Xenopus tropicalis: one gene and its partners. The protein of the gene in region 1 purifies or fractionates together with the protein of each later gene. This does not show direct contact. Links are inferred from orthologs where the notes say so. Each region holds a gene or a part of one and is shown on either strand. Other genes may lie near its edges. The genes, in order: pabpc4, larp1, mkrn1, ddx6, g3bp1 and paip1.

What was found.
Region 2: the proteins of pabpc4 (region 1) and larp1 purify together in Homo sapiens (affinity purification with mass spectrometry; 3 studies listed by BioGRID and IntAct, with this or other methods). This does not show direct contact. The link is inferred for Xenopus tropicalis from reciprocal best matches to the Homo sapiens genes PABPC4 and LARP1.
Region 3: the proteins of pabpc4 (region 1) and mkrn1 purify together in Homo sapiens (affinity purification with mass spectrometry; 3 studies listed by BioGRID and IntAct, with this or other methods). This does not show direct contact. The link is inferred for Xenopus tropicalis from reciprocal best matches to the Homo sapiens genes PABPC4 and MKRN1.
Region 4: the proteins of pabpc4 (region 1) and ddx6 purify together in Homo sapiens (affinity purification with mass spectrometry; 3 studies listed by BioGRID and IntAct, with this or other methods). This does not show direct contact. The link is inferred for Xenopus tropicalis from reciprocal best matches to the Homo sapiens genes PABPC4 and DDX6.
Region 5: the proteins of pabpc4 (region 1) and g3bp1 purify together in Homo sapiens (affinity purification with mass spectrometry; 4 studies listed by BioGRID and IntAct, with this or other methods). This does not show direct contact. The link is inferred for Xenopus tropicalis from reciprocal best matches to the Homo sapiens genes PABPC4 and G3BP1.
Region 6: the proteins of pabpc4 (region 1) and paip1 purify together in Homo sapiens (co-immunoprecipitation; 3 studies listed by BioGRID and IntAct, with this or other methods). This does not show direct contact. The link is inferred for Xenopus tropicalis from reciprocal best matches to the Homo sapiens genes PABPC4 and PAIP1.

The regions. Positions count from the first base shown.
Region 1 is NC_030678.2:91,041,351-91,046,275, reverse strand, and holds part of pabpc4 (polyadenylate-binding protein 4), read right to left. Parts: intron 4,235-4,925; coding exon 4,141-4,234; intron 4,050-4,140; coding exon 3,919-4,049; intron 1,364-3,918; coding exon 1,277-1,363; 3' UTR 1,264-1,276; intron 1-1,263.
Region 2 is NC_030679.2:19,796,407-19,801,331, reverse strand, and holds part of larp1 (la-related protein 1), read right to left. Parts: intron 4,123-4,925; coding exon 3,963-4,122; intron 2,279-3,962; coding exon of another isoform or gene 2,267-2,278; coding exon 2,138-2,266; intron 1,247-2,137; coding exon 1,097-1,246; intron 972-1,096; coding exon 809-971; intron 542-808; coding exon 397-541; intron 131-396; coding exon 1-130. UniProt on the Homo sapiens protein: RNA-binding protein that regulates the translation of specific target mRNA species downstream of the mTORC1 complex, in function of growth signals and nutrient availability.
Region 3 is NC_030679.2:5,323,412-5,328,875, forward strand, and holds the start of mkrn1 (E3 ubiquitin-protein ligase makorin-1), read right to left. Parts: upstream 3,311-5,464; 5' UTR 3,227-3,310; coding exon 3,105-3,226; intron 1,013-3,104; coding exon 884-1,012; intron 806-883; coding exon 594-805; intron 1-593. UniProt on the Homo sapiens protein: E3 ubiquitin ligase catalyzing the covalent attachment of ubiquitin moieties onto substrate proteins. These substrates include FILIP1, p53/TP53, CDKN1A and TERT.
Region 4 is NC_030683.2:80,839,110-80,844,034, forward strand, and holds part of ddx6 (probable ATP-dependent RNA helicase ddx6), read right to left. Parts: intron 4,913-4,925; coding exon 4,790-4,912; intron 3,150-4,789; coding exon 3,021-3,149; intron 2,446-3,020; coding exon 2,329-2,445; intron 1-2,328.
Region 5 is NC_030679.2:16,834,187-16,839,541, forward strand, and holds the start of g3bp1 (ras GTPase-activating protein-binding protein 1), read right to left. Parts: upstream 3,303-5,355; 5' UTR 3,231-3,302; intron 1-3,230. UniProt on the Homo sapiens protein: Protein involved in various processes, such as stress granule formation and innate immunity. Plays an essential role in stress granule formation.
Region 6 is NC_030677.2:194,887,818-194,893,342, reverse strand, and holds the start of paip1 (polyadenylate-binding protein-interacting protein 1), read right to left. Parts: upstream 3,276-5,525; 5' UTR 3,211-3,275; coding exon 2,967-3,210; intron 1-2,966. UniProt on the Homo sapiens protein: Acts as a coactivator in the regulation of translation initiation of poly(A)-containing mRNAs. Its stimulatory activity on translation is mediated via its action on PABPC1. Competes with PAIP2 for binding to PABPC1.

The DNA of each region.
Region 1 (4,925 bases):
ACAGGTATGGGACCCGTTATCCAGAATGCTTGGGACCTGGGGTATTCTGGATAAGGGGTCTTTCCATAATTCGGATCCCCTACCTTAAGGCTACTAAAAAAATTATTTAAACAGTAAGTAAATCCAATAGGATTGTTTTGGTTCCAATAAGGATTAAATATATATTGTTGGGATCAAGTACAAGGTACTTATTATTACAAAGAAAAAGGAAACCATTTTTAAAAATGTGAATTATTTCATTAAAATTGTCTATGGGAGATGGCCTTTCTGTAATTCGGAACTTTCTGGATAATAGGTTTCCGGATAAGGGGTCTGATACCTGTAGTAATAAGTCAAATCAATTGGCTTGCTGTGCTTTACTCAATGATGTTTCACCAGTCATCCTACTGGCTTTCTCAATTCAGAATGACTTGTGCTAGGATCTTTCTGGAATAAATACCCTGGACTATTGCTCCAATCAGCATAATCTGTTTATCATAACCAGCATGGGGTTAGGGATTTCATGAAGGGAAGGTGTTAATTGTATTAGCATGATTGGAGCTATGAGGGGTTAATAAACCTTCCAGGGAGAGGGGTGGGTGAAAAAACAGCATTATATGTGGCAGACAATAGATGCTGCACTCCCACCTCTATTTAAGCTTGAGATAGCAACTGTTTCACCCCAAAGACCTAATCCCAAAGCATAAGAAGAGTAACACTGTACATGCAGTGCAGTGACGAGTGCTCTGACTTGTATGTGGGACAAACCAAACAACAGTTACACCGGTTATGGTGCAGCACAGAAGAGCCAGCTCCTCTAGTCAGGTACCTACATCTAAAGGAAAAAGGACACATGTTTGAAGACATATAACAACTCAGGTAGGGAATGGCAATCTGTGGGTTCTGTCGGAGGGGCTGCTATAAGAAGCCTTAGACAGTCACTACTTAGTGGTCTTGTGGGGGGCTGTTTTAGTCTCTGTGTAGTTAAAATGCAAGGTCCTCTTATGAATCCCAGTCAGGCCTGTGAACACTATTTCCCCTCTACTTATAGAACAGCACAAGAGTTGTATAGAAAATTCCACTAAAAATTTCCAGTGTATGCATACATGAAAGCAGTGCATACCATATTTTACACAAAATAAACTTAAGCCTCTTGCAGAATGCACCCTAATATTTAAAGTAAATGTATTGCTTTCTGCAAATTTGTATTAGACAGCTACACAATCTGTTAACCATCAGATCTAGGGGGAATATCCCTGCATACTGACTAGTGTGGATACTTACAGGTCAGCCTGGTTCAAGAGGTAGCAGTGACAATTCCCACTTTCTGTGCAGCATCTTTCTTGGCTTGATGAGCCTGAAGCACAGCTACTGCCTCTTCCACCTGTAAATGAAACACTGAACATTAGATATGCAGTATACACTACATAGATTAATAAAAATGTACACTTAAAGCTAATTGTAGTGCACCACGCATTTTAATTACTACCCCTGCAACACACCTTAACACTCAGCTGACATTTCAGTAACCACCAGGTTTTAGCTTCACTATGGGGGAATGTGCCTCTATAGTTTTCACCTTGTCAAATGGATTCTATAGCACCATGGCACTAAATTAGAATGGAACAATCTCCCTACATCTAATGTTAAGATTTTCCCATAGTTTGACAGAAGAACAATATGAACTGCTGTCAGTCAATATAATTAATTTCCAATTTACAGCATGTTAATTGCACCACCAAACACAGCCAGCTTTTTATACTGTAAATAAGCCAATAAGTTTTTATTGTAAATACGCCTCAGGATTTAAACACAAATGCATTTACAGTGGATATAAAAAGTCAGGTTCGTGTGCTGTACAAAAATGAGACAAAGATAAATCATTTCAGAACTTTTTCCACCTCCTGAACATGAGGAGGAACTTCATCTTTCAGCATGACAACGACCCAAAGCATACATCCAAATCAACAAAGGAATGGTTTCAACTGAAGATTTAAGTTTCGGAATGGCCCAGCCAGAGCCCAGACCTGAATCTGATTGAAAATCTGTGGGGTGATCTGAAGAGGGCTGTGCACAGGAGATGCCCTCGCAATCTGACAGATTTGGAGTGTTTCTGCAAAGAAGAGTGGGCAAATTTTGCAAAGTCAAAATGTGCCATGCTGATAGACTCATACCCAAAAAGTGCTGTAATAAAATCAAAAGGTGCTTCAACAAAGTATTAGTTCAAGGGTGTGCACACTTATGCAACCACATTATTTTAGTTTTTTGGTTTTCTTCCCTCCGCCTAAAAGATTTCAGTTTGTTTTTCAATTGAGTGGTACAGTTTATAGGTCACATTAAAGGTGGAAAAAGTTCTGAAATGATTTATCTTTGTCTCATTTTTGTACAGCACAGGAACCTGACATTTTATCAGGGGTGTGTAGACTTTTTATATTCACTGTATATCATCATAAACATTTCTATAAGTTTGCAAAAATATTTAGCAAAGGATGAAGAGAAAATGCATCATAAATTCTTTAAAAATATGGCAACCCCAATTTATTTTATTGGCTTTTGGAATATATGTAGAGAATCTTGTTGTCAACCCTTTTCAAATACTGTTAGTCAACTGGCAGCAGTTGTCAGAAAACACTTTCTATAGAGCACCTTTATAAGGTATATTTAAAATAAAATATATCTGCAAATTAAGGGACAAGTAAAGGCTAATTTACAGGGGGCGGGGTAGAGTTGCTGAGTTTGATGATCTTTCCAAGAAAGCACTGCCACCTTACATTTATTTCCAGGGATCCCTTATAGGCTTTATTAATATTATAGTCCATTCCTCACTTTCTACTTGATGTGGATATATAGATGACAGGATGGCACACCAATTATTTATGTTATTATTATTTTTAATACTTATGGATGCTCACTGACGGGGGCTAACTGAAAGTCCCCAGCTGCACTACTGAAATAGCAAAATTCAGGGCACAGTTGTTGCTAGGAGATGACATCACTTCCGGATATAACGTCAGAACCAGGAAATGCGAAGTAGAGCTGAGCGGTGAAGACAGAAAGCTGTATTTGGCATGCTTGTTACAACTTTGTATTTTGTGCTCACTGATTGCCTGCATTTTTTTCAATGCATGAGCCCCTGATAAAGACCCAAATGTTGAGTCAAAACATGTTGGGTTTTGTTAAATAAGCTTTGGGGGTTTTTTTTCGCATATTGGTGTGCCCTGAATTTTGCTATTTTTCCTTGATGTGAATGGACATGAATAAAGGATTTCATCTGTAATTGCTCCTAATACCATTGAATGTAAAGTTACATGGAGAGGTTTTAGACAGACCTCTGCACTTTTCATTCTTTAGTATTAAGACTGGCGACAGGTGGACAGAAAAGTTTTGACCACCAGAGTGCAGTGGCATTCAGTGGTGAATTATTCAGGAGCCTTCTTCAGGAACATCCACATACTATAAGACAGTGAACAAATAATAGAAAAACTGATGCCATTGTATAGTATGTAACATCATCAACTGGTGGTATCAGGGTGATGACGTCACATACTTCACTTTGGCGCCAATTTTTGTTTTCTATGTTCATTGTCTTACACTATGTGGATGTTCCTGATGGAGCTGAAATAATAAATATAAATTAATTTAATAAATATTATTGTTTTGTGTACACAAGAGCAGAGTGTGCTGGACTTTATATTACTACATATTATATACACACAATACACGTTAAATATATATATATGTGCGCCTAATATAGAAGATACATCCCTGGTGAAGGTAAAAATGCCCTTTGAGCTATTGCCATACGGCAATTACCATTTTGTGCATGAAATCTGTATTGGTAAAAATGGAATGCGGTAAACAGATAATTTATTACAAAAATTAACAAAAAAATGATAAAAACCTGAAATCGGAGTAACTACTACAGCCAGAGCTACATACCTTAGAGCGCAGAGACTCTGGGGACTCCAACATATGTAACAGTTCTGAGTTGTCTATTTCCAGCAGCATTCCTGTAATTTTACCCGCCAATGACGGATGCATGGCTTGGATAAGAGGAAATAAACGTTCTCCTGTGGGCAGAATGGAAAATGAAATCTCATCTGTTTCTCTGACTCCCACAAGTGAAACCACTTCCTTAAACAAAACAAACGTAAGACTCACCCAACATCTGCTTCTGTTCCTGGGGTGGAGCAGAAGCCAACATGGAGGCCGTGAGAGGCTCTTGTCCCTGCACATGGACAGCTGGCTGAGGGGTCTTTGGGGAAAGAAACAAAAATATAACATCTGCACTGCTTAAAAGCTGACTGTTTCTTAATTTTTATATTGGTTCTATATATATATATATATATTTTTTTTTTAAAGAGTCAAAACGTTTTCTTTTAATTTTCAGCCTTGTGTATAGATGGATTATCAAGTGTTTGAATATGCTCATTAGTGAACCGTTATGTAGCTATAACAAAAGTCTATATGTGACAGAAGTAATAGTTACCAGAAACACTAGTTTTATTTGACTTACTTACTATTGTAATTGAGCAAAAGTAATTAAATAAAGTAATGGTCAGTAAAGTTTGGTTAGGGGAAGTAGCCGCAAAGCATCTGTACAGGGTAATAGTGTTGAGAGCTGATCTGCAGGAAAATGCCTACTATTGCTACTACCACAGTGCAACAGTAGATATCAACAAATCAAATGGTTACTATCACTTGCAGACTTATAAAAACAAACTGATTTTCGGTTGCTACTGGAAACTGCACTTGTGCAATATACTGTAGCTGTAACTGTGTTCTGAATCAGCCCAAGTTAGAGCCCCTATACATACATGTTCTTTTGAATGACTGCTTCATTTTCAGTATATGTATAGCAGCCTGCTGATCCAGACAGATAACTGTTGTCTGGGAATCTTGATCTGCCAATGCATCATATATTATAAGCTACCTTAGCTTTTAAG
Region 2 (4,925 bases), on another chromosome or scaffold:
TTATGAGTTGATTGAAGTCGGTCTGGGAAGCATCTGAAAGGGAGGGACCTGGAAGTGGCCACATATCTGGCTGATCTTTCCTGCGAATTTTCTCATCAATAATCTCTACCACTTTGCTATCCTTTAGTGCCTGCAGAACACAAAGGCATCATTTACACACACATTTATCTAAATATATCTATAAACATGCACACAATCAAAGAATGGGTACATTCATCTTATTTTATGACAAATACTGGTAACATATGGACATGCAGTTCTGCACAAGAAGCCTTCATCATCAACATATATGTGCTCATTAACATGAGCCACAGATGCTCTGAAGAGCAACAGTGGTACGGTCTGAGTATATATATTTTTTTTTATTTAAACAAAATTCAACACAGTTCACTTTACCTTGACTATCAGTTCAATATCTGTGGTAAGAGCCTGTACTCGATGGAAACTGGCAATCAAACCAACGGGCAAAAAACCTTCAGAATCCATCTTCCGGCGCAAAAAGAAGTCCCTCTGCAGGTTGTCCACACTAAAATAGTATTCTCTGCAAGAAAAAGCACAAAAGTAAAAAAAACAATCTAATTTACAAACGAAAGGTGTTAAACCACAAAAAGTGCATTGTACCCATAGCAACTAATCACAACTTAGTTTTCATTTTCTCAGTTTGCTAAGTAGCAGCTATTAGCAAGTGCACTTTTATAACTTAGCACCTACGTTTATGACAAACCCAACGTCACCTAAGGAAGCATATCAGAATATCTTGGCCCAATCCACCCTTTCTATGCCAGTCTAATACATGGAGGCAACGTACATCTGTCGTTTGATATAGTCTTTTAGAAGTTCCTGGTCCACACTGTACAGCTCTGAACTGCTCATGTTGTCGTAGTAATAAGTGATATTACTGAGAAACTTTGGCCCACGTGTTACATCTGAACCATCAAATTTCCTGTACCCGTACGGATAGTCAAAGTGAGCTGTAAATTGAAAGGAGAAAAAAAAAAAGTGTATGATCTGGACTGTTCTATATATAATTTTCATTATGGCGGTATAGGGGGAAACAATTTTTTAGAAAATGTTATAATATACAACTTTCACTTACAACGGGTGCCTCCTCGACCACGTCCTCTTCCTCTCCCTCGGCCACGTCCTCTGCCCCTAAAGCCACCCCTGATAGCTCCCTCACTTTTCACGCTGGACGTATCATCGAAGTCCTGCCAATCGCGCTCAGACTTGTTATCAGGATACATTGCTGTATTGGGGGGTAGAGACAAACACTTAACACACCAACAAAGGCTCTGGAGGCCATCCCCATGGTTAAAAAAAAAAAAAAAAAAAGCCTGGCTCTAAAGGGTAAAAATTCCCACACTGCATATTCATCTTCTGACCATTCGCATCTATATGCATATGGAGATGGTGGCAAAGTTTGTGGAATGGATAAGGTGGCCATACACAAGCAGATTTAAGCTGCCTATTCAAGTCCTTTAGACTGATTCAGCAGAGTATTTGCCCGAGTTTGGGGCCCCCAATGGTCCTCCCTGATCAATACCTGGGAGAAAATCAGGCAGGTTTGATTTGCCCATCAAATTGGGGACGGCATCAGCTCACTGATATGGTCCTTGGTCCAATGGGTGCTATGCCCATTGTTGTAATTCAATTGTTTGGCCCTAGAGACAATCAAATTAGTTCAATACTGCCCACCTTAGGTGGGGATATAGGGAAAAAAATCTGCTCGTTTAGCGTGTATGTCCACAGAGTGGCACCATAAAACCATGCCATTGCAGATATTCCTGTATTTACTGAGCCCACTTTAACAGAAAACTTGAAGGACTGGTTAATATCCTAAAGTGCATTTTTCTTCTTACAAATAATTCCACTTGAATGGCTTCAGTCAGCTGCTTATTAATATACATATATTTAGGTTTCTAGTGGTAATAGCACATTTAAATGCACACAAAAATATATTTATTTTTGGGTGTTACTGGTCCTTTGAGGACACATGAACAGGTATAAAGTGTGCTTCAGCTCAAATAACACATAACAGCCAACAAGAAATTAGCCTTTGCTGGTTTGTTGAAAACTTGGCACCTATTATCCTAGTCCCAATTTGCCTTAGATAGAAAACTGTTCTAGTTAAACATACTTTTAGGGTCACTGCGGTTCAGCGGGTGCCGTTGCTGCTCATTTTGCCGGTTGTTCCTGGATGCATTTTTCTCTCTTGGTCCATCAGGCTTCATCTCGATTTGTAGGGGAACCCACTTGTGTTTGTTTCCTGCGGGAAACGCTTCAGCATTACAAATTAAATCCGATTCATTTCAATCCAGTTTTCCAGAAAAGCCCCCAGATTTCCCTCTAATACCCTAAATTCACTAAAGTTGCTAACATGCAAACTTAACATTCACAATAATGTTTTTTATACAAGAATAAGAAACACAAAATACAATTGCTCAGCATCCACACACACAAAAAAAATGAATATTCTGTGAACACTGCTGGACAAATAGGGTATATTTTGCCTTCATAACACAAGGCATTGTGATTGCAATGGGTAGCAGGATGGACTGCGGTTTTGGATTTGCTGTTGTGTTACATTCAAGGGCACCAATCATAGAAAAAGTTTCCCCCACTGGAGGTGTGGGCTTATAGAGCCTGCAGTCTGGTCGGAGAAAACAATACTCCCAAGCAAGCACATTAGTGACATAGGAGTGGTGATGTGCCCCGCACACTCATTATGCGAATGAGCACCAACATAGCCACCTATACTCTAAAGGTCTCTCCCAGGAAATGTGGAGTAGCGCTCAGAGTTTGTTTTCTCTTTCTAAAGTGCAGGCTCAATTACCACCACCTCTGGTGAAGAAAATAATTTTTTGATGTGCCCTTTAAAGGAATAGTAATATAAAAAATGAAATATAATGCACTATTGCCCTGCACTGGTAAACATTGTGTGTTTGCTACAGTAACACTAATATAGTTTATATAAATAAAGCTGCTGTGTAGCCTTGGGGGCAGCCATTCATGCGGATCTTAACTTGTATGGGCACCTTTAAGCTTTCCACACTCATTTTTCCTATGAGAAGCATGGTAAGGGAAGGTCACCCACTGTCTAAAATTTGATACAGTAGTTACTGTAGCAACCTTATAGCCCCTACTAAGCATGATCACTAATATAGGTTTAGCTTTCATTAGAGAGGTGCAGTGCGATGAGATATAATATACCGCTAACTACTATGCTGTGAAAGGGTAGAGCATACACAACATTCTTTCAATTCATGTCTGCATTTGCAGATATGGTTAACAGATGCTTAAATAAGCAGTAACACCAAAAAAGTAGTATCAATGAATCAGCATTCAAACCCCTTTCACGTTTTTCCTGTTACTAGTTATTTGCTTGCCTAGCTTGAGGAATTCTTTATGGCTATTTGAACAGCACCATCTAGTGGTTGAAGAATGGTAATACTGTGCATATACTGGTAATACTGCTCAAAAAATAAAAACTCTTAAGGCAAGCACAGTATGGTTATAGAATTAAAATATGCCAGGAGAAAAATTGAATGAAATCAAGACACTGTTTAACAACAGTTTTTCAACCTACTGAGCCTTTGCCCAGTCAAAAAATCTGGCATTATGGGAAGGAGGCATAGAACAGTTAATGGTGGTGCTGGAAGGGGCGTGCCACCGAAACGTTACATGGTTTGCTACTATTAAAAATCAGCAGGGTTTATCCCGCTTAAATAAGTCCTGTTGTGCCGGTATTTTTGTGCTATTTGGATCGTGGTGGAGAGTGCCGACGTCTCTCTAAATACTGTGCACCAGGCGGAACAGAGTGTGCTGGTGAGTATGGATTGGGTGCTTGAAGGAGGCAATTGTTTAGATCTGACTAACACCTTTAAGGTTTCTTCACTGACACTGAACCTTTTTGGATTAAAAAAAAACAAAAAACTGTATTGTTAAAGGAAATCTCACTGTACCTTTCTTTTTGTTAGCTGATCTCTGGCCATCGTCATCGCCATTCTTCTCCTCACTGGACTCATCTGATTTCACCCTCTGGTTTTCCTTCCCGTCTGCACTTTCCTCTTTCATATCCTTCTTGCCCAGGGACTTGCGGCCTGGCTGGAGTTTGGTAGGCGGCTAGAAGTAAAAACAAAAAAGACAAAGGCTTTAATAAGATCAGAATGCCTGCTTAGTGTTTGACACAGTCTTACTTTGCTCCTATTAAATTGATGTTGCCCAGTGTATCAACCAACCTTTGCTTACTAGTCAGGTGGGAAGGGCAGTCAGTGGCAGTTACCTTTTTATTGAAGCTTGGCCCTGTTAAGCAAAGGGCATTCTGATGCCATGTGGCTTAAAGCTGGCATGGTGTTCTTACAATCCTAAATGATATCTAAGTATAATGGATACAATTGGTTCACCGATAGGGCAAGTTTGAAAATCTGCTAAAGCTCCATAGACATCTCTGACGTGAAGCATCAGCAGATACAACAGGGCCACATCTCCACTTTACTTTCTGATAGGCAATCCATTTGGCTTATTTAGTCCAACTATGGCCCCCTTAACATTCACAATATTTTCCCAGCCAATGAAAGAAGTGAGGTTGTACTGAGCAGAGCAGTTTTGTGGCCACTGGCCAGCTAGCCAATCTATCTTGAAAGGTATAAAGCACACAAGACTTCATACAAAAGCACCCCCACTTTATAGCACCAGCTTGCGAACAGTAAAGCTGAATATCTCTCACTGGACAACCTGACACAAGGGATCACCTCCTCAGCCACTAAACCTGCAATATGAACTCACTATTATTGCCCGATCCAATCTAAGCCTGAACTATACTACCCTCCAGGGGCGACCCAATAAGAAAGGGGCCAACAGAGTTTTCTGACAAAGCCCAACAGGCTGGAGGGAACCTTTCTTAGAAACCTTGCATGCCCGTGGTC
Region 3 (5,464 bases), on another chromosome or scaffold:
AGGGGTAATTATATCTTAGTTGGGATCAAGTACAGGTACTGTTTTATTATTACAGAGAAAAGGGAATCATTTAACCATTAAATAAACCCAATAGGGCTGTTCTGCCCCAATAAGGGGTAATTATATCTTAGTTGGGATCAAGTACAGGTACTGTTTTATTATTACAGAGATAAAAGAAAATCAGTTTTAAAATTCTAGATTATTTGATAAAAATGGAGTCTATGGGCAACGGCTTTTCCGTAATTCGGAACTTTCTGGATAACAGGTTTCCAGATAAGGGATCCCATACCTGTATATGAATAGGAGATGGTCTGAATAGAAAGAGAAGTAACAATAACAATAAAACTGGAGCCTCACAGAGCAATAGGTATTTGGCTGCCGGAGTCAGTGACCCCCATTTGAAAGAAGAAAGGTAAAACACCCCTTTAAGCCTTGGCCAAACCAAATGTGCAGCCTGGGGGGGGGGGGGGAACAGTTCAGATGATAATGAGCTGGGGGTGATTAAAAAGTATATAAAAATAAAAGTGAAAGTAAAAACAAAGGAACTTGTGGGGTTGCCTGGCTGGTATGGTGCTCCCCGCCCAAGCAATTACCACGTCCACTGTAGAGTTGCCCCGGAACAAACTCCACGGCATTGACCCAGTCTTCAGCTTGTGGACCCCCAGCTGCCAGCTCACTAGCTGCCAATTCAGCTGCCTTACTGTTTATATTGCTGCTCGGTTCCGCGGGGGACTCACTCGGCCAGCTCCGCGCAGTAGAGGTATTTCCAATCAGATCTTCCTTAAGTGGCTTGGTATGTTCGTACCTTGCAACGAGGGAGAGAGAGATGAGCCGAGAGCGCTCACACTGGGGGAATAGACAGCTCTCAGTGGCGCTCACTTACCTGCAGCGGTCTCCATACGCGCAGCAGCCTCGCTGGAAATATCGGCAAATCATGGTCGATCGGCTGCTGGTGAGATCGTGGGAATAACGACAATTACTTCCTTCCTTACACACGCCGTGCATGAAGTACCTGCATCATAAACACCGTGACAGACAAGCCAGCAACCAATCAGACAGAGGGATCACTCTCCGTTATACAGTGACAGAGCCGGCACCCTCACACCCCCCTTTAATCCCTAAAAGGTTGATCTGGCCGACCCTTTAACTGAGAAGGACAGGGCTGTGCCTCCAGCAAACTTACTCACAGTCCTGCCCCAACAGTCTCTCACTGCATGAACTAACGGGCTCCCAATGCTTCCCTCTCATCTGATCTCTCTCTAGTAAATACCCCCCTAAATATATTGGCCCCGCCCTGCTAACCCTGTCCCACAATTCCCCTGAACTAAAGTACCTTTATCAATTTCCCCCAGCCCTAATGCACCTGGAATGCCAGTCCCACCCTCACGGAACCCATGCCCGCTAGTCCCAGCCCTACGGAACCCGTGCCCCGCCAGTCCCAGCCCTACGGAACCCGTGCCCCGCCAGTCCCACCCTCATGGAACCCATGCCCGCCAGTCCCAGCCCTACGGAACCCGTGCCCCGCCAGTCCCACCCTCATGGAACCCATGCCCGCCAGTCCCAGCCCTACGGAACCCGTGCCCCGCCAGTCCCACCCTCATGGAACCCATGCCCGCTAGTCCCAGCCCTACGGAACCCGTGCCCCGCCAGTCCCACCCTCATGGAACCCATGCCCGCTAGTCCCAGCCCTACGGAACCCACGCACCGCCAGTCCCAGCCCTACGGAACCCGTGCACCGCCAGTCCCAGCCCTACGGAACCCATTCCTGCCAGTCCCAGCCCTACGGAACCCGTGCCCCGCCAGTCCCAGCCCTACGGAACCCGTGCCCCGCCAGTCCCAGCCCTACGGAACCCGTGCCCCGCCAGTCCCAGCCCTACGGAACCCGTGCCCCGCCAGTCCCAGCCCTACGGAACCCGTGCCCCGCCAGTCCCACCCTCATGGAACCCATGCCCGCTAGTCCCAGCCCTACGGAACCCGTGCCCCGCCAGTCCCACCCTCATGGAACCCATGCCCGCTAGTCCCAGCCCTACGGAACCCACGCACCGCCAGTCCCAGCCCTACGGAACCCGTGCACCGCCAGTCCCAGCCCTACGGAACCCATTCCTGCCAGTCCCAGCCCTACGGAACCCGTGCCCCGCCAGTCCCAGCCCTACGGAACCCGTGCCCCGCCAGTCCCAGCCCTACGGAACCCGTGCCCCGCCAGTCCCAGCCCTACGGAACCCGTGCCCCGCCAGTCCCAGCCCTACGGAACCCGTGCCCCGCCAGTCCCAGCCCTACGGAACCCATTCCCCGCCAGTCCCAGCCCTACGGAACCCATTCCCCGCCAGTCCCAGCCCTACGGAACCCATTCCCCGCCAGTCCCAGCCCTACGGAACCCATTCCCCGCCAGTCCCAGCCCTACGGAACCCGCGCCCCGCCAGTCCCATGCTACTTAGTAGCAGCTACTAAACGCCTGATAATCCCCTGCCATAGACAATAGTGGGAATCCCCTCTGCTAAACACACAGACAGTTATCAGTAAATGATCAGCATTGTCTGTTTCAGCAGACGGAAGGTTTATTCCCCACATCCCTCAATGGAGCTGCTCTCCCTCCCCCGGCAACACTGTGCGTCTAGCCCCCCCTCCCCTGACAGCCCCCCCTCCCCTGACAGCCCCCCGGTAACACTGTGCGTCTAGCCCCCCTCCCCTGACAGCCCCCCGGTAACACTGTGCGTCTAGCCCCCCCTCCCCTGACAGCCCCCCGGTAACACTGTGCGTCTAGCCCCCCCTCCCCTGACAGCCCCCGGTAACACTGGTGCGTCTAGCCCCCCCTCCCCTGACAGCCCCCCCTCCCCTGACAGCCCCCCGGTAACACTGTGCGTCTAGCCCCCCCTCCCCTGACAGCCCCCCCGGTAACACTGTGCGTCTAGCCCCCCCTCCCCTGACAGCCCCCCCGGTAACACTGTGCGTCTAGCCCCCCCTCCCCTGACAGCCCCCCCGGTAACACTGTGCGTCTAGCCCCCCCCCCCCCTGACAGCCCCCCCCCCCTGACAGCCCCCCCCCCTGACAGCCCCCCCCGGTAACACTGTGCGTCTAGCCCCCCCGCCCCCCCGGATGCTAAGTACCTGCAGGCGACGTGCCGAGTCCAGCCACCCACGGGGGGATTATCGGGGAAAGCGGGCAGCGGGGCCTTCCCTGCCGCGGCTGCTGATGTGAGAGGTGCAGGAGCCGCCGCTGCCTCCGCCATTCCTGTTTATCCCCCCCTTATAAACAACACCGGAACTTCCGCGGTCACATGCTTCCGGCGCGCTGAGGCGCCCGATTCCAAAACTTCCGGTAACCAAAGAAGGGAGGGGGCGTGGATTCAGTTCGACCAACCCCCTTCTGAGTAATTGATTGGCGTTTTAGCCAATAGCGGAATACATTTACTGGCTCCGCCCTCTTTAAACCTGGGATTTCTGTGGGAACTGACAGTGCGGTTACTTCAGTGCAGCGTGATGTCATAGTAACTGGGTTCCATTAGCGGCTCCTCACAGTCCTGTCATGTACAATTGTGTCTGTACGGGAGCTGCCATATTGTCTGCCTAGAGAAATATCCCATTCTGAATCGGTTCCTTTTTGTGAAATTTGTGTCTGTTTATAATTACAGCTCAGAACCAGCAGTGTTAGCAGAATTTAGTGATGAAACCATAAAACTATGGCACATAGGGATTCCCCTGTACTAAGTACAATTCAGCAGTAACAGCCCCCTAAGTTTGCCCATAGCCTGTACAGAGAGATACCATAAAACTATGGCACATAGGGATTCCCCTGTACTAAGCACAATTCAGCAGGAACAGCCCCCTAAGTTTGCTCATAGCCTGTACAGAGAGATACCATAAAACTATGGCACATAGGGATTCCCCTGTACTAAGCACAATTCAGCAGGAACAGCCCCCTAAGTTTGCTCATAGCCTGTACAGAGAGATACCATAAAACTATGGCACATAGGGATTCCCCTGTACTAAGCACAATTCAGCAGGAACAGCCCCCTAAGTTTGCCCATAGCCTGTACAGAGAGATACCATAAAACTATGGCACATAGGGATTCCCCTGTACTAAGCACAATTCAGCAGGAACAGCCCCCTAAGTTTGCCCATAGCCTGTACAGAGAGATACCATAAAACTATGGCACATAGGGATTCCCCTGTACTAAGCACAATTCAGCAGTAACAGCCCCCTACGTTTGCTCATAGCCTGTACAGAGAGATACCATAAAACTATGGCACATAGGGATTCCCCTGTACTAAGCACAATTCAGCAGAAACAGCCCCCTAAGTTTGCTCATAGCCTGTACAGAGAGATACCATAAAACTATGGCACATAGGGATTCCCCTGTACTAAGCACAATTCAGCAGGAACAGCCCCCTAAGTTTGCTCATAGCCTGTACAGAGAGATACCATAAAACTATGGCACATAGGGATTCCCCTGTACTAAGCACAATTCAGCAGAAACAGCCCCCTAAGTTTGCTCATAGCCTGTACAGAGAGATACCATAAAACTATGGCACATAGGGATTCCCCTGTACTAAGCACAATTCAGCAGGAACAGCCCCCTAAGTTTGCTCATAGCCTGTACAGAGAGATACCATAAAACTATGGCACATAGGGATTCCCCTGTACTAAGCACAATTCAGCAGAAACAGCCCCCTAAGTTTGCTCATAGCCTGTACAGAGAGATACCATAAAACTATGGCACATAGGGATTCCCCTGTACTAAGCACAATTCAGCAGGAACAGCCCCCTAAGTTTGCTCATAGCCTGTACAGAGAGATACCATAAAACTATGGCACATAGGGATTCCCCTGTACTAAGCACAATTCAGCAGGAACAGCCCCCTAAGTTTGCCCATAGCCTGTACAGAGAGATACCATAAAACTATGGCACATAGGGATTCCCCTGTACTAAGCACAATTCAGCAGGAACAGCTCCCTAAGTTTGCTCATAGCCTGTACAGAGAGATACCATAAAACTATGGCACATAGGGATTCCCCTGTACTAAGCACAATTCAGCAGGAACAGCCCCCTAAGTTTGCCCATAGCCTGTACAGAGAGATACCATAAAACTATGGCACATAGGGATTCCCCTGTACTAAGCACAATTCAGCAGGAACAGCCCCCTAAGTTTGCCTACAGCCTGTACAGAGAGATACCATAAAACTATGGCACATAGGGATTCCCCTGTACTAGGCACAATTCAGCAGGAACAGCCCCCTAAGTTTGCCCATAGCCTGTACAGAGGGATACCATAAAACTATGGCACATAGGGATTCCCCTGTACTAAGCACAATTCAGCAGGAACAGCCCCCTAAGTTTGCTCATAGCCTGTACAGAGAGATACCATAAAACTATGGCACATAGGGATTCCCCTGTACTAAGCACAATTCAGCAGGAACAGCCCCCTAAGTTTGCCCATAGCCTGTACAGAGAGATACCATAAAACTAT
Region 4 (4,925 bases), on another chromosome or scaffold:
TTGGGCATCAAACTGTTCAGTAGGCCTCTGGTGTTCCTATTTGGGGTGACTTGCCTTTGTACGCAAGAAATTGTGTGAGATAAATGCGACAAATTGCAACATTTTTAGGCGATTTTCTGAAATGTCATAAAAACCAATAACTTTAGGAAAGCTCTGCAGATTGGTACTTTGGTGTAGAAAGGACTCTTTACCCTTGTTGGATTTGTCAGAATGTGTACTTTCCAAAAATATATGGTTTTGTGGGGGTCACTGTATGGTTAGGGGAAGTTTTGGCACATAATACACTGACAGGGGGCTCTGTGTGCAAAAGCTGAGCTGGCAGGCGAGAAATCCTTATGCGCTATTTTCATTTTGGGTTCAGTACATACCGCAGACTTTGGTATATCTATGCATATTGGGCATCAAACTGTTCAGTAGACCTCTGGTGTTCCTTTTTGGGGTGATTTGTCTTTATCTGATCTTTATCAAGAAATTGTGAGAGATAAATGCGGCAAATTGCAACATTTTTATGCGATTTTCGAAAATGTCATATAAATCTGCAAACTTAGGAAAGCTTTACAGCTTGGTACTTTGTAGCAATAAGAAATATTTACCCATTATAGATTCGGGGGGATGTGTATTTTCCAAAAATATATGGCTTTCTGGGGTGAATGTACTTTTTTTGTAGCATTATCCCACATAAAGGATGTAAATGTGTTGATTTTGCAGGAGCTGAAATGATAGATCATATGGGGGTATGTTCCCATTGGGGCCCCTACATGCCACATACTTAGGTAAACCTATACATATTGGGCATCAAACTGTTCAGTGGACCCCTGGCGTTCAAATTCAGGGTGTTTTATCTTGGTACCTAATGCTATGTGGGAGATAAGATGCTTCAAAGTGGAAGCTTTGAGGGGATTTTTGGAAATGTCATCAAAATTGCTAACTTTAGAAAAGCTGTGCGGCTTGGTACTTTGGAGTAGAAAGACATAGGTACCCATTTTAGATTCGGGGGAATGTGTACTTTCCAAAAATATATGACTTTCTGGGGTGAGCATACTTTTTACTAGCTTTATCCCACATATAATGATGTAAATGTGTTGATTTTGCAGAAGCTGAAATGACAGAAATGACAGTACATATGGGGGCATGTTCACATTGGGGCCCCTACATGCCACATACTTAGGTAAACCTATACATATTGGGCATCAAACTGTTCAGTGGACCCCAGGCATTAATATTTAGGGTGTTTTATTTGGTTACTTTATGACCTGTAGGAGATAAGATACTATAGACTAGAAGCTTTGAAGCGATTTTTAAAAAAAATCACAAATTTTGATAAAAACCAATAACTTTAGGAAAGCATTGCGACTTGATAGTTTGGAGTAGACAGACAGTTGTGCCTATTCTGTATTCCCCAGAATCTGTTCTTTCCAAAAATGTACAATTTTCTGGGATAAACCTTCTGTTAGTGGAATTTTGGCCTTGAAATCCAAAGTATGCAGTTTTTTTGGAGCAGTGCTTTGGGAATTTGGTAGTGTACTGCTGGGAGTTTTTGACCTATACAAGTGAGAAATCTCCATAAAACTATATATATTTGGTATTGGCATGTTCAGGAGACATGGGACTTTCCAAATCAGTTGTATATTCGTGCATAAAATAATTTTTGTTTCTAGTATGTGTGATTATATTATGGAAAATTTGATTTTTTTTGCATTTTTAGACATTTAGAAGCCTATATCTTGTTACAGAATTGGAATTACACAAAAATTCTACCATATTTTGAAAGCTTAGGTTGTTCTGAAAAAAACGATATATTGTTTTCCTTGGTAAACTAAAAGTCCCCCCGAGGAAAGGCCCCTAAAGTGAAACAGTGCAAAATGTTCAAAAACTGTCTGGCAATACAAGTTCCGCTTTGACCAAAATGGCTGGCAGTAAAAGGGTTAAAGGGCATATCAAACCAAAAAATATTTACCTAATAAAAACATTCTAGGCAACTTTCCAATATCAATTTATTAATAAATATCAGTGCTTTAAAAGTTATTTGTAAATGTAATTGCTATAGAAAGCAGCATTTTCTGAACTCCTTTTTAAACAATGTTGCAAGTGCCAGGCTCATCCAGCAAGGCAGGTCTGTAAAATTTGCTGGCCCATGTTTATCCATGGGCCATAAATTTTGTCTGTACCCTAAACAGCACTCACATGCATGTACTTATCCTAGGAACTTTTCACAGTGCTTATATTGAGATAAAGAACTGCATTGAGCATACATATACAAGTAATACAGCCAAATACTTATTCACTGCAGGTCAAAACATTTTTTAAAAGGCATTTAAATTTACATACTTGTCTCATCTTTGCATGGATATAGAAACACGAATAGCCCAACTGAGATATTTTCTTAGCCAGGAGTTCAACCCGTTGGGAGGAGTTGCAGAAAATTATTGACTGGTTGATTTGGAGCTAAAAAGGAACATGTACAATTAGCAATTTATAGAAATGAACACGCACCCCTAGTGTAGACATACTATAAAAGCCTGGTCTAATGTTGCCAACATAGAAGCTTTTTCTATTGTTGTACAGTGATCTTAATGAGATTTTTACAGGTTTTACATTTTATGTTTTACATTACTGCTGAAAAACAAACCTATCTTCAATATACTTTAAAAGAAAAAAAAAAAATCTGTATAGTTCAATAAAAAAAAAAAAACCCCACTAAATCCTGCACTTGTTTACCCTTCTCTCCAACTGCACAGACTACAGCCTGCACAAATCTTTAGAAAGCCGTGGGGCTGCAATACTTCACAGCACTGGTGATCAGCACACAGGTAAAGGGCAAAGATTTTTACAGAGTGTCCTCCTTTTTCATGTATATCGGTGTGCTGGGCTGTGCTATAAAATTTAGTTCACCAAATCCTGCATTTTCACCTTATACACATTACCACTAATACTAAAGACACATGAAATTAAAAAAAACTTCATAAAATGAAAAGCTTTACGGCATTATAGAAAACATTACGATAACATTAATTCCTTACCCTAGAGAACAGTGTGTTGAGGCAGTGAACTTTCTGCCGTTCAGTCACATAGGCATAATATTGCGTTACTCCCTTCAGCGTTAATTCCTCCATCAGGTTAATCTCATAGGGTTTTTGCAAATGGGAAGTCTATAATAAAAATTGTTATGGAATTAGCATGTAGCATAGAAAAATAGGAACAAAATTCTTAAATTGCCAAAAAACTGCTTGAATCAAGATTTGTAGCTGGGATCTGACCAGCACCTAATGTAGCGGTGGTTTAAAATTCAGGTGGTGGCCACTGGCTCAGACTGTGCTACACCTGAGCTTTCCTGCAGACTTCAATGTAACAGCATTATAAAGAGTCAATATATTAAAGTCCCCATAAAGTTAAGTCTACTCAAAAGTATACAGACATACAAAGTAGAAGGTAGAAGTTTCTACTGCAAGCAGGGCCAGACTGGGCCACCGGGAAAAATCCCGGTGGGCCCTGGCAGCCCAGACCCGACCCTTGCCAGTGCTCCCCCTGCCGTGTTAAAATTATGCGTTTGGGGGATGATGTCGGGTGGGGGGGCCCTGCGAGAGGGTTAGGGGGGCCCCTGGGGTGGGAGCACCGGTGGGCCCTTCACCCCCCAGTCCAACCCTGACTGCAAGAAGTTTAACAGCCATGGATTTTACTGCTAGAAATGCTTTTAGGTAACCTGTTTTTTCTTACTCCCATGTAACTGGAGGAGTCTCAAGCAAGCCTTGATTTTCTTAAGGTGGCCCCATACACCAAGATCTGCTTGCTTGGCGACGTCACTATGGCAACATCTAAATGTTTCCACTGGAATGGGCAAAGATAGGAGAGTCAGCGATGACATTTGGTAGGGTCATGTAACCCAAATATCTCAATCCAGGCATAGATTAAGATTACTGCACGTGGAGGGCTTGGGGACTCCTAACTCCACATGCGTAAACCAGATTTTCAAAACTAAAAAACTTTGATCTCTGCAATCATGGCTTCAATATTTTTTGAGTTGATTGTACATTACAAACAAAGTTGAGGAGGCCAAGAGGCAGGTTGCTGGTAAGCACATGTATACATAATGGCCATCAGATTTTAGAGCTCAGTTATACAAATATTAGAACAGCAAACAGATCTGCTCTTATTGGCCATGTTTGATCAGAAGACATGCCTTCCTCCTAAGTAGGTTTTTTGTTCTAGACATGCCTCTGCTTTGTTTTTATTTAGTGCATACCTTCGCTACATCTTCCATCTCTTACTTTAAAGTCAATTAAATACTTATCTTGTGGCTTGGGTGCTTTAAGACATATATTCGGATTAGCCACCTGTTCTCTCTAAAGAAATCTGCACTTGAATTCCAGCAGCAACCCCATGTTATAAGGCAGAATTGTTTATATGTACTACTGAATAGGTTTCATCCTTTCTAGCAGCAGAGTTCATAGTAAAACAAAACTACCACTGGAATTCAGAGCGCAGATTTCTTCAGAAAGACAGTGCAAAAATGAAGGGCAGGACTTTGGCAAGCTTAGTCACTGTTCATTTGTTTATGAAAAAGTCCGTTACCTATGGGAAACAGTAACTCCCATCTTGCAATTCGGCCTGGACTCTGAGAACAGATCTCTGTGCAACTGACTAGTAAACATGTTCTATAGGTAAACAACTTCATTTTTTTGGGGATTTATTCACTGGAAGAGTGACCCATTAACTATATATACTAACAAGTCACACAAAGGACAAGTTGCAAACATGAATCTGAACCAAAATAATAGAGTTCTGTACTTGCCATAAACTTCTGAACACTGAGGGGAAATGTGGCTGAGTAAAGTAGAATCTGTCTGTTTTTAGGTAGCGTGATAATTATATCCTCCATTATTTGCACAAAATCCTGAGACAGTAGTTTGTCTGCCTACAAAAAAAAA
Region 5 (5,355 bases), on another chromosome or scaffold:
GCTGTAATTTTAACATGAAGTTTCTTGAGAAAAGCCCTTCTAAAAATGATAGTTTAAGTGAAGGCACACCTATAGAGATGTATGTAAATAAAATATGGATAATCTCTATTAACCACTTAGCCACAGGGCTGCACAGCAAGCATTTCCTTCAGTATTGTTATAGCTGCAGTGCTTGAGATACTGCTGCCCGGCTCATACACCTCTCCAACCGCTCCTCCTCTGCCATGCCGCTCTGCCAATCCCTGCACTGGCTTCCCCTACCATCCAGGATAAAATTCAAGCTATTGACCCTCACATTTAAAGCAGTCCATAACTCTGCCCCACCCTACATCTCTGAACTCATCTCTAGGTACCATCCAACCCGCTTGTTACGCTCCTCTACTGACCTGCTCCTCAACTCCTCTCTCATTCCCTCCTCACACGCTCGCATTCAAGACTTTGCAAGGGCTGCCCCCCTTCTCTGGAATTCGCTCCCACAAACTGTCAGACTTTCTCCCAATCTCTCTGCCTTCAAGAAATCTCTAAAAACACATTTATTTAGAGAGGCTTACCCTAATCTAGTTTAGCAATACCCTGTGCCCCACCTCTCACAACTCTGGTCATGCCCATTACCACACCTTGTGTCTCAACCCTTTCTCCTTGTAGATTGTAAGCTCTTTTGGGCAGGGCCCTCTTCACCTCTTGTATCGGTTATTGATTGCTTTATATGTTACTCTGTATGTCCAATGTATGTAACCCACTTATTGTACAGCGCTGCGGAATATGTTGGCGCTTTATAAATAAATGTTAATGTAATGTAATGTAATAAGGTGTTTATATTGTCTGGGTTTACTCGTGTTATGATTAGTAATTGCACAGTGCAGACCTTCATGACGGCTGCTGCAGAACAGCTTAGGACAATAACATGTCAAGATGTGCTTCACCAATATTCCACCAATAAAGTTTCATTATAATAATCTGGTACAGCACAATTAAATGGTATTGAGTATTTCCTGCACAAATTACAGCAGAAACGTGAGACCCACTGGCAGTTAGGCAGGTTCATGAGTGGCAGCAAATTGATCGCATACAGCTCTTGAAAGACATAGTCATAAGACTATTAACCCTTCTGGGATCTAAGGAGCTGTCAAATCAGATGTCAATTTAGATCTGGAACAGGGATGTCTAAATTGCAACAGGTCTTGATACTAAAATTCCAAAACCTTTAAATGTGTCTTTAGAGCCACAAGAATATATCTCCCTTAGCAATGGGCTGCTTTAAAGAGCCTTCCCCTCACTTAACCTAGGCGAATGTCCATCCCGCACCATGATATTGCAGTAGCCCTCACGAGAGAGACTGGGCTAAAAGACTGCTTGTTTATTTCTTCAGCTTATTTGTGACCTTGGTAGTGTAGACTTTACAGTGCTGAACAATTTCATTATAGGCAGGCATTCAAACCTTTGGAGTAACCATGCTGAAAGGGAACATTTAAAAAAAAAAAAAAAAAATAATAATAATAATAATAATAAAGAAAAGGTCTATTAATTGACCCACACAAACATACTGAAGTATAGAAAGAATATTGTTGAAGCACATCTTGACAAGTTATTGTCCTAAGCTGTTGTCCTAAATCTTTTGGTGCACTGCAAAGTATTTTTGCAAAATTATTTACAACCTGCACCCAACCCTAACACATAGTGCCCCAACTATTTTTAGATTTTACACTTTTATTAGAGGGGTAAGGGGAAGTTGAAGAACTAGTGGGGCTTGGAGCAGTTGGGTTGGCGGCAAATTTGGCTCAATACTCACAAATTGTTGGCACGAATCTGTGGTTTTCAGGGAAGCCCACATATCACTACTGCAGAAAAAAAAAAAACCTCCCACATATGAATCACAATAGAGCCACTCCCCTGTAATGGGGTCCTCCTTGAGGTGTACAGGTTGGCAAAGTTGGGCAAATGAGCCTCTGTGGGGAACTGAAACAGTATAAAGAGGTTAAATTCTCCTGTAACAAATCAGATCTTTGGGTAGCACTTCTACCGTGCCTGGTTCTAAGTAAGGCAATATCGCCAAGGATTTTTGCCAATGATATTGCCATGTCATACAGGCAGGTTAACTGGGTCCTGATATAACTGCCCCCACTGTGTAAACTGATATAGTACTTATATTGTAAGCAGCAGTAGGGCAGAAGCTAATGGGAATTGTGTATAATCTCTGTATATCTATGCGTAAATGTGCTGGCACAATAGATACTTAACTTTTAGCCATACAATATTATTCTACAACCTGTGGGCATATGTACACATGTATTGCCACTGCACGGTTCCATTGCTTTAGGCTGACTGCACAAAAGATCAGAAACACCAGAAGTGAAGAGGAGCTTAATGTTCAATCATACCCAATAAGGAGACCCCCAAAACATGGCATACATACTCATTCAAATGGTCAGAATCTGGTCAAAATCAGCCATGTTGGACAACCAAATCTGGGCATGAATGGCTTAAGTCTGTATGTTGACTAAGTTGGAACAAAAACATTAACAAATTCTTCTAAGGGTACACTTTCCCACCTCTGAAATTCTGGCACAGAGAAAAAAATAAATATATATATTTATCAGTAGTCAAGATGGTGACCAATAACAATCCCTGGGGTCCTTCCTCAAAGAAGCCTAACAAAAGAACATACTTAATGTATGGCCCTCTGGAAGCCCCCTAGGCTTCAAACGGAGTCTGACAGTTTTCAGAATGGCTGACCTTGCCATCGGAACCGAAGTTAAAGATAAAGTGAGGGCCCTTGCAATGCAGTAAGTCTGGAGCTCCCATTGAGGGAACATAACTGCATAGAAGTTGGATTAAAAGATAAGACTACAACACAGCCTGAAAGTGGTGGAAGCTGGTAGTAAATCCCTTACTTACTGACACTAACATGTTATGGAATAGGTACTGCATACTTTAATCTACATAGTCCCTAAAGTGCCCCTGTGATGCCGAGTGCCCCTCTCTGCCGACAGTAAAACGGTCCTTTCTGCCATAAAACAAAAGCACACGGGTTCGAATTCATCTTCTCCGTCGCTTCCTTGAGGAGCACACCGCGTCTCTATACCAACCCAATAAAGGCCGCGTCCACCCGAGGCAAAGCGCGCGTTACGTCAAGGAAAGACATGAGGTAATGCAGCGACAAAGGCACCGTGTATCAAAAATATACGCAACGCTCTGATAGAGTAACCTAAGGATGTTTAAGGTCTTCGTACCTGTGAAAGGTCCGGCTTGGTGCAGGCTTGGCGCTCCGTAGAAGCCTAGATAAATTTACACCTCACACAGCGTCGGCACAAGCAGCGGCGTGCTCAGCTGCCGGCTACATATACTAACGTCGCAGCCAAACTTGCTGTTCCTAACTACCCAATCAAGGCGCCCAGCGCAAGCACTTCGGAATCCTATTGGGCTAATAGGCGGAAAATCACTCAGATCGACAACACATAAAACCAATAAGCTAGAGGGAAACCCGCCTATGGTTACAGCCAGCAGCCAAACGCAAAGCAGAATACAGCAGTAAAGACAGCCCTTCTGCTCCTACAAGTTAGCCGAGCGCTTATTGGTCGGAAGATTTCTCAGACACAATGCTAGTGTGGTTGTTGAAGCATGAGGGACCCTGTAACCTTGAGCAGGAAACCCTGAGTGAATATAAAGAGAGGCGGGAAAAATGTGACGCTGGCCAATCCCCGAGCAGATATTGCCTTAATAGACAGGACAGAAACGGGGATTTTCTTAAAGATAAATGTCTACATTAACACAAGGTGGCAGAAAAAAGCACATAATCCTGCCAACAAATATAAAAACAGATAATACAAAATAGTAATCTTAATAGTTAGTCAAATGGAAAAAACAATGGAATTCAGAAAATATTTCATACCTACGTAGGGATCTCCAAAATTGGGCCTCTAGGATGATTCCCCTAGTACAGGCTCCCAAGGGTGGTTTGGGAGGTTAAGAGTTAACAGGGAGTAGCCCTGCAGTTTTAGTTAGCAGCCACTGGGTAGCGCATTAGGTATATAAGGGAATGCAGCCATGTGCTGCTAGGTCTTTCTGCCTGGGACCCCCTCTGGACAGAGGTTAATGACAGGCTAGTGTTTAGATAGTAGATCTGGAGATAATAGCTCACTCTAGGGGGCTGATTTACTAAGACACGAATTCCGACCGAATTGGAAGAATTCCGATTGGAAAACGAACATTTTGCGACTTTTTCGTATTTTTTGCGATTTTTTTCGGCGCCTTTACGACTTTTCGGAAATTATCGCGACTTTTTCGTTACCAATACGATTTGCGCGAAAAAACGTGAGTTTTTCGTAGCCATTCCGAAAGTTGCGATTTTTTCGTAGCGTTAAAGCTTGCGCGAAAAGTTGCGCTTTTTTCGTAGCGGTAAAACTTAAAAGGCGCGACGTTTCGCGCAAGTTTTAACACTACGAAAAAATCGCAACTTTTTGCGCAAGTTTTAACGCTACGAAAAAATCGCATCTTTCGGAATGGCTACGAAAAACTCGTGTTTTTTCGCAACAATCGTATTGGTAACGGAAAAGTCGCGATAATTTTCCGAAAAAATCGCAATCGGACGCATTCGGCCCGTTCGTGGGTTAGTAAATGTGCCCCTAGGAGTGGGAGACAGGTTATTTAGTACGGGTAGTCATCACCCCTACAGGAGTGGGATAGCACTCATAGCTGGAGTCAGGTAAGGAGATTACCTAATCCAGTGGGTGCTTGGGCGTGAGGTCTCAGAGGGGTGTCCGCTTGGCGGGAGTACCAGGGAGAGCCCTAGAGAGGGCCTTCTGGCGTGAGTACCAGAGGGAACCCCAAAGAAGGATCATCTGGCGGGAGTACCGCGAGTAACCCCAGGGAGAGAGGGTCTCCAAAGGGAAGTGTGTGTAACCTGACATATAAGTGTGCTCCTGTATAATCTACTTGTCTGCAAGTAATAAACTACATTCTACTGGTTCAACATCATACCAGTGTCCTGGTCTCTTCGTACAAAGACGATCCTCACTGCCTGGTAAGCAGCTACCCCAAAGGGAAGGGGAAAGGTACCGGGAGTTGCAGGGAGTCCCTGACCAGGGAATACAGTACAGCATTAAGTTCTCAGGAGGGGAGTTACAGTTCAATCTGTCCCTAACCTGGGTGGAGGCACGCCATTAAGTAAAGTAACATCTGTTCCCCCAAAGTAAGTGGGGCTCAGGATCCCTGTTAGCGCCATAAGATCTCAGCAGGTAGCAGCACTGTCACTAAAGTGGGCTACACCTAATTTCTCCATTTACCCATAATATAAATATTTTACACTCCATAAAAGCTCTAGCAAAGAGGTACCGGTAAAATAAAAATAAAATAATA
Region 6 (5,525 bases), on another chromosome or scaffold:
TCTGGCAACCCAAACCCCTATTAATTACTATTTTTTATTGCAGGAGGGATCACAGTGGCTGAATCAAATTTGCATGGAAAGCCATGTTTGGGTCAAAACCTAGAGGGTAATAATCCTTTCTACATGCAGAAGGCCCCAGGGCCATATCTAGTTAGTATCCGAAACAGCTTTATACTCTGTGAATGTTATTTTCTAAAAAATAAAACTGGATTTTTTTTTTGGGGTGCAAAATTCAGGAAAAGTACTTGCTGAATTACTGCCCTGTGTAGATCATGGGAATAATCCACTATAAAGAGTTGAATGGCATTTTAATAAAAAGGAGGGGTAAATCTATGCAACGATTCTGCCACTTGTGACAATACAGCCCAATTGGGCCGAGCATCCGTATGGAAGTTCTGGTTCATATAAATCAACATGCAGATGATGCTCCCTGTGCAGAAACCCATAACCTTGCAATTTACTGAGCACTTAGCAAATAAAATGAATTAAATACCTTCCCCATTATTCTAATGTGAGTTTATAGATCTTACAACATCTTATCTGCATTCCAGACCAACGTGAAACTAACATATTTGCAATATACGCTGCTATTATATTTAAATTAGTCTTCAATACTCTTGTGCAATGATATGTATAAAAAAATTATATAATATATTAAATGTAACAACATGTACATCCCAAAGAATTCCAGAAATGTAAGGAGGACTCTCTTATTGCTAAACATTAGGCACAGCTTCCCCTTTGCAAGGCATATGACTGATTTCCCAATAGCCAGACACTGAATCTGAGCACAGTCTATTCCAGGAAGCAGCAGAACACTTATCAAACCAAAAGGTTATCCAGGGGAAACTGCTGGAAGCCATACATACAGCTAGTGTATGAACTAGGCAGGGCATGGGCAACCAGTAGCCATCTAGATGTTGTTACCAATAACCCACTCATTCCCCAAGCCTTATCCAGATGGGTGGAGCTAAAGGAATGACTGGGCTGCAGGGGGTTCTTCTAAGCTCAATGTATGTCAGGTTCTGCCCCAATAAGTCCCATGACAATGTAACACTTTACTTGGCGCAAAAATCCAAGCCTGACTGGTGACCTGGAAGGTGCCAGCCTTGATGGCCAGTGACAGTGTGCCAGGTAGAACAGATAGAGTGATGGGAAGACATTGGGTAGAACAGGTTAGACAATGACAGATGAAGCATATCGCACACAGGGCATTAACAGAAATGGGAACTACCCCTCTAACCCTTGGGCATCAGACATACAATGGTTAGTGGCGGGATAGAGAAGCAGACATGCTGGGCATTGACTGGTCAGATTACAGCATGCTGTGGGCAGTGACAAGATGGTGGGCTGCAACACTTTACCGTAAGGGGCATCTATGTGTGGGGAGGAGAGACTGAACAGAGATGTAGGTAGGGTGATACACAATACTGGCAGATGGAGGGTTGGCAAATACATTTGGAAGTTAAAATGCCAGGTAATGCCAAGAGAACAGTGACAGGAAGACCGCAGGGGGTACAGGATTGTTCTTCTTGGTCAATTACTAATTTAGGCCAGAAAATCACTTACTCACAAACACCCAAATGACAGTTGTGTAAATGCCACCCCCACAACTAAGTCTGGAGCAATGCAGTCTCCCCCATTTTGGTTCCATCATTATGAAGCCGAGGTTATTGTTATTAATGCCAAAAGCCTTACTAATGCTATACGTTTTTCCACAGTTTTTTTTGGAGACGTTCTGTATTCTGAATTCTTAAAGGGAAAGTAAACTTAAAACAGGGGGGTGGGGTTCTGTCAGACTTCATACCCAGACAGGCACTCACCAAGCACACATGGGGTACAATGATGGGCTCACTCCTGCCAGTCTCCTCTCTGTACTGCACAATGTGCCCTGCTGCAGCTGCCCCAGGGGAGGGTACTGCGCAATGTGCCCTGCTGCAACTGCCCCAGGGGAGGGTACTGCGCAATGTGCCCTGCTGCAACTGCCCCAGGGGAGGGTACTGCGCAATGTGCCCTGCTGCAACTGCCCCAGGGGAGGGTACTGCGCAATGTGCCCTGCTGCAACTGCCCCAGGGGAGGGTACTGCGCAATGTGCCCTGCTGCAACTGCCCCAGGGGAGGGTACTGCGCAATGTGCCCTGCTGCAACTGCCCCAGGGGAGGGTACTGCGCAATGTGCCCTGCTGCAACTGCCCCAGGGGAGGGTACTGCGCAATGTGCCCTGCTGCAACTGCCCCAGGGGAGGGTACTGCGCAATGTGCCCTGCTGCAACTGCCCCAGGGGAGGGTACTGCGCAATGTGCCCTGCTGCAACTGCCCCAGGGGAGGGTACTGCGCAACGTGCCCTGCTGCAACTGCCCCAGGGGAGGGTACTGCGCAACGTGCCCTGCTGCAACTGCCCCAGGGGAGGGTACTGCGCAACGTGCCCTGCTGCAACTGCCCCAGGGGAGGGTACTGCGCAATGTGCCCTGCTGCAACTGCCCCAGGGGAGGGTACTGCGCAATGTGCCCTGCTGCAACTGCCCCAGGGGAGGGTACTGCGCAACGTGCCCTGCTGCAACTGCCCCAGGGGAGGGTACTGCGCAATGTGCCCTGCTGCAACTGCCCCAGGGGAGGGTACCGCGCAATGTGCCCTGCTGCAACTGCCCCAGGGGAGGGTACTGCGCAATGTGCCCTGCTGCAACTGCCCCAGGGGAGGGTGATGACAGGGAAGATGGCAGCTACAGACACTAACCCCTGCCAATGCACATTTCTCAAGACAAAGAGTTTCGCCCCCATCATTTTGAGGTTTAGTTTTCCTTCTATGGAAACAAAAACTTTGTTTCTGCAGTTTTCTTTACTCCCATTGGTGCAATTCCCCTCCCCGAATTACAGGAAAGCTCCTCCAGCTGCATTCCAGCTACTGATGAACTACAACTCCCAGGGTCCCTGACAGAGAATTTAGAGAGAAAATGACTTGAGGGGAATTACCTGCTCCGGCATCTCCTCCTCCAGGCGGCCCAGTACGAGGCGGCCGTAGGGGCTCTTGCTGCTGGCTAGCCGCGGCTTTGCCTCTCCCAGGCTCGTCCCCAGCGCCCAAGGCCCCACTGAAGCCCGGTGCTCTCCCACCCTCTGCTGTTTCTACTCCGCGCCCACGGCCTCTCCCTGTCCCGCCTGCCAACCCCCGCCCTCTGCCCCTCCCGGCCCCTGGGGCCCGCTCAAAACCATCGGACATAACGCTGTAGGAAACTCGGTGCTCCAGCGGGAACAGCCCCCGGGGCCCCGAACGATCACAATTCTAGCCCGCCCCCTGTCACAGTCATGCAGTAAGTTATTGGAGAAAACAAATAAATCAGCGCCACCTGTTGCCCGGAGGACCCAAAAATGAAAGTAAACAGAGCGCTTCTTCCTGCCGTAACAACGTAAAATACACACGGCGCCACCTAGCGTTAGGAGGGCGTCTATTCCTTCAACAAAGAGACAAGTGTATTTCAGCGGCAGCTATTGGACCCGCCGGAATTATTATTATTAGACGAAACCGCATATGAGGAGACCGGCAAACAGCGGTCACAGGACTATTTGCAGTTAAATACTTATTGGGATTTATGAAGAAATCCACTTTTATTCTCCCCCTTTGCGCTGCCTTCTTACTTGTAGGCAGCCTTTTTGCCATAACCCCCTCTTACAGGCCTCTTCTCTATACCCAACTTGCCACCCCCACAACCCACTCCCATCTTTACTCCAACACTATCTCTCTATTTAGCCTGGCAGGGGCCATACACGGCGAGGTCGCCAAGCGAGCAGATATTCTCCCGATATCCCAACCTACAGAGGGCCATATCTGGCTCGTTTGGTTATTTGACCCTGGGGCCAAACTATCGAATTAGAACAGCGGGCATAGGCACCATCGGTTGGGGGACCGCATCAACAAGCCAATGTGGTCCCCAATCCAATGGAAAAATCAAACCTGCCCGATTTCAGACCAGGTCCATTGTTCCTGCCCATACACGGGCAGATAAGCTGCCGAATCTTTCTAAAGGTGGCCACACACGTGGCAATCTGCGATCTATCGTGCGACCATCAGACCCGCCACTAACCTTCAGGGCTGAAACAGCAGATAAGGAGGTAGAAACAATAGGATTTCTACCTCCTTCTGCCGATTCAGCCATGACGGCAGATTTTGCTCAGGTGCCTTCTATGGCGCCCAATCAAAATCTTTTGACCTGGCCGATCGGCGAGTTGACCGATATCAGCAGCCTCCTGCGATACCGGTCGACTCTCCCACTTGCCATACACGCACCGAATATCGTACGAAACAAGGTTTCGTACGATATTATCGGTGCGTGTATGGCCAGCTTAAAGGGCTGATATCGGGAGCTAGAATCGGCTGGTGTCTGGCCAATGGTCACATTGCAGTTCCTTTATTTTCCTTTTATATACATGCTATTATGCATGTGTGCATGACTTGCATCTCTAGCAATATCTCTAGGCATGTGGCTACTAGCAGCCATGCAGCGCGCCTCTCACTGTGGCTACTAGTAGCCATGCAGCCCTGCCTCTCACTGTGGCTACTAGCAGCCATGCCTCTCACTGTGGCTACTAGCAGCCATGCAGCCCTGCCTCTCACTGTGGCTACTAGCAGCCATGCGGGGCGCCTCTCACTGTGGCTACTAGCAGCCATGTGGGGCGCCTCTCACTGGGGCTACTAGCAGCCATGCAGCATGTGATATGGAAACTATAGGTGGACAGGTCAGAATTTCAGTTTCTTATAACAAGCTCCAATGCTTAATTGCTATTTGGAGGCAAGAATTCACTTGTTTAATCGCTAATTATCCGCAGCTCAGGATTTTTTCGCTCTCTGCCTCCCATAGGCACTTTTCTTCCTGATACATTGTAGTTTGGGTTAGCGGGCTCCCTATAGTTTTTGTTAGCAGACTCCCAATAGTTTGGGTTAGCGGGCTCCCTATAGTTTGGGTTAGCGGGCTCCCTATAGTTTGGGTTAGCGGGCTCCCTATAGTTTGGGTTAGCGGGCTCCCTATAGTTTGGGTTAGCGGGCTCCCTATAGTTTGGGTTAGCGGGCTCCCTATAGTTTGGGTTAGCGGGCTCCCAATAGTTTGGGTTAGCGGGCTCCCAATAGTTTGGGTTAGCGGGCTCCCAATAGTTTGGGTTAGCGGGCTCCCAATAGTTTGGGTTAGCGGGCTCCCAATAGTTTGGGTTAGCAGGCTCCCAATAGTTTGGGTTAGCGGGCTCCCAATAGTTTGGGTTAGCGGGCTCCCTATAGTTTGGGTTAGCAGACTCCCAATAGTTTGGGTTAGCAGACTCCCAATAGTTTGGGTTAGCGGGCTCCCTATAGTTTGGGTTAGGGGGGCTCCCAATAGTTTGGGTTAGGGGGGCTCCCAATAGTTTGGGTTAGCGGGCTCCCAATAGTTTGGGTTAGCGGGCTCCCAATAGTTTGGGTTAGCGGGCTCCCAATAGTTTGGGTTAGCGGGCTCCCAATAGTTTGGGTTAGCGGGCTCCCAATAGTTTGGGTTAGCGGGCTCCCTATAGTTT